2 linked regions of the Saccharomyces cerevisiae S288C genome follow. Changing the gene in region 2 together with the main gene of any one other region gives a genetic interaction. Each region holds a gene or a part of one and is shown on either strand. Other genes may lie near its edges.

Region 1 (5,714 bases), on a different chromosome or scaffold from region 2:
CCATCTGCATTGTCACCATCTTTTAAGATTTCAATCTCTTTTGAAGCTGGGTTAAATTTAAGCGGTAGAGGCGTATAATTGCGGACCACCATGACTTCCGGTTGTTTGATCTCGACGGACCACAGATTTTCCGCAGTCATCAATGACCATATGTTAACTTTCTGCTTAAACAACGGAGTTACTTCCAATAAAAAATGTGATGAATCAATATCTCGCTTGTGTGAAATCTTGTACTTGACAAAATAAGATGGAGATAACTCATGTTTGTTTTCCCTCTCACTTGTGTACCTGTAGGTTAAATAACTGCTTACTGCTCCAACTGTCAGTAGGCAGCCTGTGATAAAAAAGTTCTTAGAGAAGCTGCTCTTTCTAGGTGACTTATGAAGCCTACGTGTTATTCGGGAACTGGATAGAACATAATTTTTCCACAGCATGCTACTTTTTCTTTTTTTCGTTTCCTCTTTTCTATTTTTGAAGGGTTCTTTCAACACGTTGCACTCTTCGAAGTTGTATTTTTCACTTGGGTTAAGTGAATTTTCACTCTTCATTAGGGTATGATGATATTAACAACATTTCAGAAGGGCAAGGAAAGGCGAAAAACTGAATTATGGAATATACTCTCTCTTTGCGGCTGGTTAAGATGCGACGGCGTAGAAATATTATGAGAGAGCCCATGCATTGTACAGTGAAAGTGCAAAACAAGTTCATTAACACGAATCTGTTTTAAGTGTATATATTATGTATATGATATTTGACGACGTGTGTTGGTTTGGTTTACAATTTCATAATGAGAAAAATAAAAAGAAGCATTACGAGAAGCACAATCAACAAATACACCCTCCATCTGCTCGTACGTTTTTGGTACCGCATGGCCTTCCTTAGCTCGTCTGAAGCCAATTGAGTGTTATCTGACGTTGTATAAATATTTGCTTCAATATTGTCAACTAGCACACCCTGCTGTTGAACAACACTTCCCAAATCTTTAAAAACTTCGTTCAGTTCCGTTATACCTCTTTCAATATTGCTGATTTCCTGGTCTCTTTGCTCGATAAGATTTTGCTGATAAGCAAACTCTTCGTTATTTATCGGGTCTCTCTCAATGACTATTTGGCTGCCTGGTATTCGAGTACTTTTTGAGCTATTCTGCCTTTGTTCTTCATCTAATAAAGCAGCATCATTTGCCATCTCACTTGCTTCAAGAGATTCTTTTGCTCTTTCATTAACTTGTTTCATTACTTGGGTAAACTGCCGCTGAATACCTTGAAACTCTTGAAAAGAGTAACTGACATCCCTCACAAGTTTCTCTCTCGCTATTATTTGAGTCTTATCCAGGCTAGCTTCCTCAATCGCATCCATCTTTTTCACTGATGTATTGACCTTTTTAATGAGCCCGCCTATTTCTTCTATCTTTGCCACAGATCTCTTATTAATTCTTTCCACAACTTTCGCACTAACATCTCCCCGATCTATAAATGACTTAAGTGTCGCGGTAAACTGCTGCAGCGTGCTTATTTGCCCATTTATTTCAAATAACTCTGCAGCAACCTCTTCTTTCAACGTTTGGAACTCAGGTGAATCACTGAATCTGGAACCGTTCCAAACGGCTTCATTATCACCACCAAAAAATTCGTCTTCCGACATCTCAACACAATTATTGTAGTAATTTACGTTATATTCTTCTATAAAAGCATTCTCTTTGGAGTGATAGCAGGCCTGTTTTATAGGGGATTATACTCTGGCGCAGTAGTTCATCGTCGATCATGATGATTATCAGCCGCGATAAGGCACGAAGGCTTAAATCCAATTACGAATCTTCTACTTAATAGTGAAGACGTTTTATCTAAACTACTCACATGAAAAGATTACTAAAAAATTAGAATCACGATGCCACTGTGTGAGAAAGGGAATGATCCAATCGATAGCTCTACTATTGATAGCCTCTGCGCTGCATTTGACAAGACTTTGAAATCCACCCCTGATGTCCAAAAATACAATGATGCTATAAATACAATTTTCCAGCTAAGGCAAAAATCTGAATCTGGGAAAATGCCGGCTGATTTAACGAATAGTGAAGCCCTTAAAGATCGTCAGAAAATCGAAGAAATATTGACCAGGTCTTACCAAGACCATTCTGAGTCCCGCGTACATTTATCTAAACTTATACAGAATGATATTCCCTTCGCACTCAATTTATTTGAAATATTATCAAGATCATCCATCCACGTTTTCGTTGGTTGCTTTTCCAATAAAGACGCAACAATTGCATTGTTAAATGAGCTGCAAATTAGGATACACTATGGCGAGGACACCCACGTCACGTATTTACTGAGCATAATTCTACAACTATTGAATAAGTTCAAGTACAATTTCAAGGAGGTGCGATTTTTAGTGAAGGAACTTATTTTGCGCATAAGCGAAGATGAAGTAAAATCGATGATGCTTATAATTTTTGCTGAATTACAATCAAGCTTCCAAAAAGACTTTGATAAAGCAGTGGTCGATTTCATGAGTAGCTTAATTGTGGAGGCAGAAATAGACGTTGGAAATGATCCATTGTCCATCATAGTCAAAACCCTATCAGAATTATATCCTTCATTGACAACACTTTGTTCTGAAATATTTTTGACCAAAGGACTAAGTAAGCTTTTTAAGAAGAGAGTATTCGAAGAGCAGGATTTACAGTTTACAAAAGAACTGCTGCGGTTATTATCTTCCGCGTGTATTGATGAGACCATGAGAACGTATATTACAGAAAATTACCTTCAACTATTGGAAAGATCACTAAACGTGGAAGATGTACAAATATATTCTGCATTGGTGTTAGTTAAGACATGGTCTTTCACAAAATTAACGTGTATAAACTTGAAGCAACTGTCCGAAATCTTTATAAACGCTATTTCAAGACGTATCATGCCAAAAATTGAAAATGTCAATGAAAGTGCGGTTAAGCTCGAGGAGGTTCCTAAAGTTGAAATGTCCGTTGAAGCGCTGGCATATTTAAGTCTAAAGGCCTCGGTTAAGATTATGATTAGGAGTAACGAGAGCTTTACTGAAATTCTATTAACTATGATTAAAAGCCAGAAAATGACGCACTGTTTATATGGTCTCTTAGTTATCATGGCAAATTTGTCCACTTTACCAGAGGAATCCAATGGTAGTTCACAGTCTATCAATGACTTAAAAAATTACGCAGATTTGAAGGGCCCAGGCGCAGACAAGGTAGGCGCAGAGAAAGAATCAAAGGAAGATATTCTTTTGTTTAACGAAAAGTACATATTAAGGACCGAGCTGATTTCCTTTTTGAAGAGGGAAATGCACAATTTGAGCCCCAATTGTAAACAACAAGTGGTTAGGGTTATATATAACATAACCCGCTCGAAAAACTTCATTCCTCAATGCATTTCACAAGGTGGTACAACTATCATCTTAGAATATTTGGCCAATAAGCAGGACATAGGGGAGCCAATACGGATTCTAGGGTGTCGGGCATTAACAAGAATGCTAATATTCACTAATCCGGGTTTGATATTTAAAAAATACTCTGCATTAAACGCTATCCCCTTCTTGTTCGAATTGTTGCCAAGGTCTACGCCAGTGGATGACAATCCGTTACATAACGACGAACAAATAAAGCTGACAGACAATTACGAGGCACTATTAGCTCTGACGAACTTGGCATCATCGGAGACCTCTGATGGTGAAGAAGTTTGCAAGCATATCGTATCTACAAAAGTATATTGGTCCACGATTGAGAATCTGATGCTAGACGAAAACGTTCCTTTGCAAAGATCAACATTAGAGCTCATAAGTAATATGATGAGTCATCCATTAACGATTGCTGCTAAGTTCTTTAACTTGGAAAATCCTCAGAGTTTGAGAAATTTTAATATATTGGTGAAACTTCTTCAGTTATCCGACGTTGAGTCTCAACGAGCAGTGGCTGCTATCTTTGCTAACATTGCCACCACGATTCCATTGATAGCTAAGGAACTGTTAACCAAGAAAGAACTAATCGAAAATGCTATTCAGGTATTTGCGGATCAAATTGATGACATTGAGTTAAGACAAAGGTTACTTATGCTTTTTTTTGGATTATTCGAAGTGATACCGGATAATGGCACTAACGAGGTGTATCCGTTGCTGCAAGAAAATCAAAAATTAAAGGATGCTTTAAATATGTCTTTAAAGAGAGGCGATTCAGGACCAGAGTTTTCAGCGGCAATTCCCGTTATCCTTGCTAAAATTAAAGTCTAATATGGAAAGAATCGCCATGTTTAACTCTTCTTAATTTTCACTAAGAAATACAACAGCACCCTGATAATGAACACACAAGAACTATGTAAGATTTTCGTAGCCAGAGAATATCCTCTGGTAGTGGTGCCCTTTATATATTTTGTTCTATTTTTACACCAGAAGTATCACACTACTCTAAATTATGTCTGGTACCCTACGTGTTCTAAAAGAATCTGGGTGAGAGAAAAAGGAAGAAAGTGCTCCTTTTTTTTTTTTTCAAAGGTGCCTCGGTCCGATGGCTTCGCAAACAATAGATGCCAAAGGAAATGATCTTCTCTTTTTCGCTTCTTTATTTTTTTTTAAGTTACGACTTCGTGCAGCCTGGGATGTACCAAGCTTGTTGTTAAACGAGCCTGACTTCTTAATCGCTTAATCTTAGTTGAATTTAGTAGTTCCAGTTTGTATGGCTGCTATTTTTGAGTATTTGGAATCATCTTTCGTTCAGCGATCTTTTTATCATTCACTTTGTCGTTTACAATTAGAAAGCGTCAAAACTTTGCATTTTTCATTTAATAATAACTGAACTCCACCAACTTTTTACTAGCAAGTTGTAAAGTTCATCGGTCAGATAAACATCTTAATTACCTGTGAAATACTCTACTGTTTCTTATGACCAGTATGTCAATTATTGATGATGAGAACGTGAAAAAAACTTCTAATGGGGCAGCTGTTGTCACTGATGTGGCTCAACACGCTGTAAGTGATTCGGACAATAACAAAGCGCAACTTCTAGGCGATGGATCCAACACTGAATATGTGGTTGATATTTTCATTGAAGCCGCTAAGGATGGGGATTTAAAAGTGGTGAAGGACGTGGTCGAAAGTGGAGCAGTGGATATTAATAACGACCGCATTGATGAATTATCCGGCTTACACTGGGCCTGTATAAACAATAGGTTTTCTGTAGCAAAGTTCCTATTACTTAGGGGAGCAAATCCTAACCAGGCGGCAGGCCCCGGAGGGGCTACTGCTTTGCACTGGGCCGCAAGGTACGGTAATATCTACATTGTTGACCTGCTTCTCAAACATGGCGCTGATCCGACGCTCAAAGATGAGCAGGGTCTTAACATCATGCATTTTAGCGTTTACAGTTCTAACATTTTACTTGTTGTTTATGTTCTTTATTTTGTCGTAAACAACAATGACAACGTCGATATCGATTCAAAAGATAACAATAACAGAACACCCCTACTTTGGGCTGCTTATCAAGGAGATTTTCTCACTGTAGAACTTTTATTGAAATTTGGCTCCACAGTTGCATGGACGGACAACAGAGGGTTCAATGCTCTCCATTGTGCTCTAGTTGGAGGTGATCAAAGGGTCATATGTGACTTAATACTTAGCGGTGCAAATTTCTACGAAAGGAATAACCAGAAGCAAGACTGTTTTGATCTAGCCGAAGGAATGGGAACCAAATCACT
Region 2 (3,450 bases):
TTTTATGATATCCGGATCGATTATGGAAGACCTTATTAGGAATGCCGTTAGATATGGCTCTGAGAAGCCTCATATATCACAAGATGATCTCAATGATGTGGTAGACACTGTTTTAAGGAAATTTGCAGATTACAAAATTTAGAAGAGCCGCATAAGGAAGAAAAGCATGTGCCAGTTATGAACATAAATACATTTAGAGTTTGCCATGCATGTACTGATTTATTTACTTTGATCAACTCTTTTTTACATATTTATATATATTCATTTAAATAAATCATCAATCAATTTTTCGACACAGACACTGAATACTTGAAATACCAAGAAAAGGATAACTATCCTCTAACGGCGCTCAGTGAAATATTATATTTTGATTGCTTGTTCAACAATTGTGCCTTATTAACTTATTACATTTATATATAAGTTTATATTATTCCATTTCCATTTTTCATTCGTAGATTTAAACTTTTTTATTAATTCTTTTGGATCAATAAAGTTCAAATCTATCTTGGACCAAATTTAGTCATTGCAGATGGCCCGCTTTCTTGCCATTCTTGCTTAGACAACCACATGTGGTCTTTATCAGCCATGATACTAGCTAAAACGGCACCACCAATGAAAACCATATGCTTTCTCCTTGGAGGATCTTCAATTCTAACTTTGAATTTATCAAGTCTTGAAGGGTCATTGTGTAAAACTCTACTAAACCATAATTGTTTCAATTCTTTCTCTAATCTCGAAGGCAGCCCTGGGTACATACTTGAACCACCTGAAAGAACAATGGCCTTATACAGGGAACTTCTGATATCAACATCAGCCGATTGCACAGTATTAAATAACAGCTCGCCCACGCCAGGTTGTTCAACGTCAACCAAACCAGGTTGGAACAAACATTCTGGTGCTTCAAATCTCTCTTGTCCCACTTTGATTGTCCTGCCATCTGGTAACTCATACGATTCCACAAGGGCGGTTGTTTCTCTAGCCAATTTTGTATCTAGGTCTAAATCATATGAAACATAACATAATTTTTCCTTTATCTGACGCACAGTTTCGAAATCTGCAGTTCTGTTAAATGCATAACCACGACGAGAAAGCAGATCAATCAAATGCCTAGTAACGTCTCTACCCGCAACATCTAATCTTCTTGTTAAGTGGCTCAAAACGACAGATTCGTAAACTGGGACTATATGAGTAACACCGTCACCGGAATCGACGACGACTCCTGAAGACAAACCTTGTGCGTACAATGCTAGAACAGCTTGGATGGCAACATAAACTCCGCCAAAATCGTATTTTTCGAACATTACCTCACACATTTTTTCCCTATTTTTCAGCGGATTCATTGGAGGTTCCGTTAGTAAAATCTTACCGTTGGAGGTGGATGGTAGTTTCATTTGCTCGAAAAAGGCGTAATCCCAAAGAAGTTCCATATCTGTCCAATTCTTAATAATACCGTTTTCCATAGGATAAGATATTTGCAGATAAGAGCGAACTTCACTTGCCTCATCACCAATCATAATGTCCTTTAATGGTGTAGCAACGCTGGCACGTTCTTCCGCCCTCAAGATGGGTCTACCAACAATAGAAGGAAACGTGTAATCTGGGAAATTCTCGCCAGCACGACCAATTTTGACGAAACCAGTACCCTGATCAAGGACTATATCGAGATGGTTAGTATTAATAATATAGGGGTAAAAGAACTAAAATGCAAAAGAGGCAAAGCCAAAAGGGGCACCGAGCTCAATTGCCTCCACAAACACTAAAAATATCAACAACATACCAATTGGATTATGTGGGTCCATTATTATTATATAGTTTTGTTAGTTTATTACTGTGATTTGTCTTCTGGTACGTATATTTAACTTTCACGTCCGTTTTCTTCCATTATATGGGTCCTCAAATTGTTTTTCGCCTTTCAATTCTACAAGACGGGTAATAAGGTCATTACTAAGAATAGTATAAATACATACAACTGCTATCTATCAAACAAATATACATATCACAGAGAGATTTCACACCAAACCTTGCTTCTTAAGTTCATCGTAGACCTTCTTACTCATTACATTTCCTTCTTCGTCTTCTTCTTCTAGTTCTAATTCTGTAGGAACTTTTAGTTGTGAAGGATTAGGCTTTGGGGGAACTGCTGCAATAGATGTCAACTGTGACTGCCCCTGCATATTTTTCCAGAGCTCTTGTGCCTCCTTAATTTTGGTTATGCCCTTGAATACTGAAGAAGGTTCGATACCAAGGCATCGCAAGTGATAAATATGTCTTTCTTCGTTGAAATGTCTTTCAAAAGTGCGTCGCCCATTATAAACTTTATTCGAACAAATTTCGCAGCGATACTCTCTGTCAAGCCCATGCAGTTTGTATAGCCAGTATGGCATAGGCAATCCATCCGGACCCAATGGCATGTCAAACGATTTACCAGAGAGGTGCTCTTCTTGCAGTTGACCATCTCTCTGCTCACCATCCACTTGTTCGGCCCCCTCTTTTTCCGTCGAATCATATGCAGGTGCTTCATACTTCTGTGTTAAGATATCCATTTCTGCCATTCTTTCATTTGCAGTAAATGCCAGTTTTCTTTCAACAAAACTTCTCGTTCGAGAAAATTCATCATTTAAATATTTCAAATACCGATGCAGTTTATATTCAGAGTACACAAAATTTCTTCTTTTAGATTCATTTTTCTTATGAATTTTCCCTACTAAATGGCTTTCGAAAACGGAAGATGTCTTGAACCACCTCGAACAAAAAGGGCAATAGATACCTTTTGCCTCGGACCGAAGAGATCCCCTACAGTATGAATGTTCGAAGTCAGATTTGATTAGATTTTCAACTGCCGCAGCGTCAAGCAAAGCATAACTTTTGAAGAAAAAAGTTTCTACATATTTGCTCAACTTTAGCAAAAAGGCCATGTATCTATCATTCTTGCGATCCATCGGTGGGGTTAGCAAATATTTCTCGTCGTCCAAAAATAATTCTAGGATGTCGAGAAATTGAAGCAGTGAACAATCGCCCCGTTTAATTACATTCAACCATAAAGAATGAAATTGTTCCAGCTCCATATATTCACCATATTGCTCATCTCTAGTAAATATTTCATTTAAGTCTAGGTCTCGAGCTCTGTCAGACAATATATTTGTGCGCCTCGATGGATCAGAAGAAGATGAGAATAAAGCGTATTTGTCTTTTTTAGAGTTGATATCCAATTCAAAGTTCTCATCTTCATTTTTCAGTTCCTTCTCTAGCTGTTGTAGTTTTCTTTCGAAATTAGGCAAATCCTTGTCATCCTCCTGTGTCTCTTCTGGACGATTGATTTTATTAAAAGTTTGTTGTTTCTCTTGGTAGTCTCGAAGAAAAATATTTATCTCATGTTGCTGCAAAATTATCTGTTTTCTCTTCCTCTTAACCTTTTTAAACTTGTATATTTTATTCTCTGCAATCAACGAT

Evidence for each region. Genes that interact genetically often act in the same process or in processes that back each other up.
Region 1: mutations in ARP2 (region 2) and SHE4 are lethal when combined (synthetic lethality), as found in Saccharomyces cerevisiae (5 studies listed by BioGRID, with this or other methods).

The regions. Positions count from the first base shown.
Region 1 is NC_001147.6:396,275-401,988, reverse strand, and holds SHE4 (She4p), read left to right. Parts: upstream 1-1,884; coding exon 1,885-4,254; downstream 4,255-5,714. Other genes in the region: CYC2 (oxidoreductase), read right to left, coding at 1-434; SNAP receptor PEP12, read right to left, coding at 775-1,641; YOR034C-A (uncharacterized protein), read left to right, coding at 4,321-4,563; putative palmitoyltransferase AKR2, read left to right, coding at 4,903-5,714. UniProt on the Saccharomyces cerevisiae protein: Required for mother cell-specific ho expression. Might be required for the transport of factors (such as ASH1) that promote HO repression from the mother cell into its bud.
Region 2 is NC_001136.10:397,689-401,138, reverse strand, and holds ARP2 (actin-related protein 2), read right to left. Parts: upstream 1,800-3,450; coding exon 1,778-1,799; intron 1,655-1,777; coding exon 501-1,654; downstream 1-500. Other genes in the region: serine/threonine/tyrosine protein kinase MPS1, read left to right, coding at 1-142; SF3a splicing factor complex subunit PRP9, read right to left, coding at 2,010-3,450. UniProt on the Saccharomyces cerevisiae protein: Functions as ATP-binding component of the Arp2/3 complex which is involved in regulation of actin polymerization and together with an activating nucleation-promoting factor (NPF) mediates the formation of branched actin networks.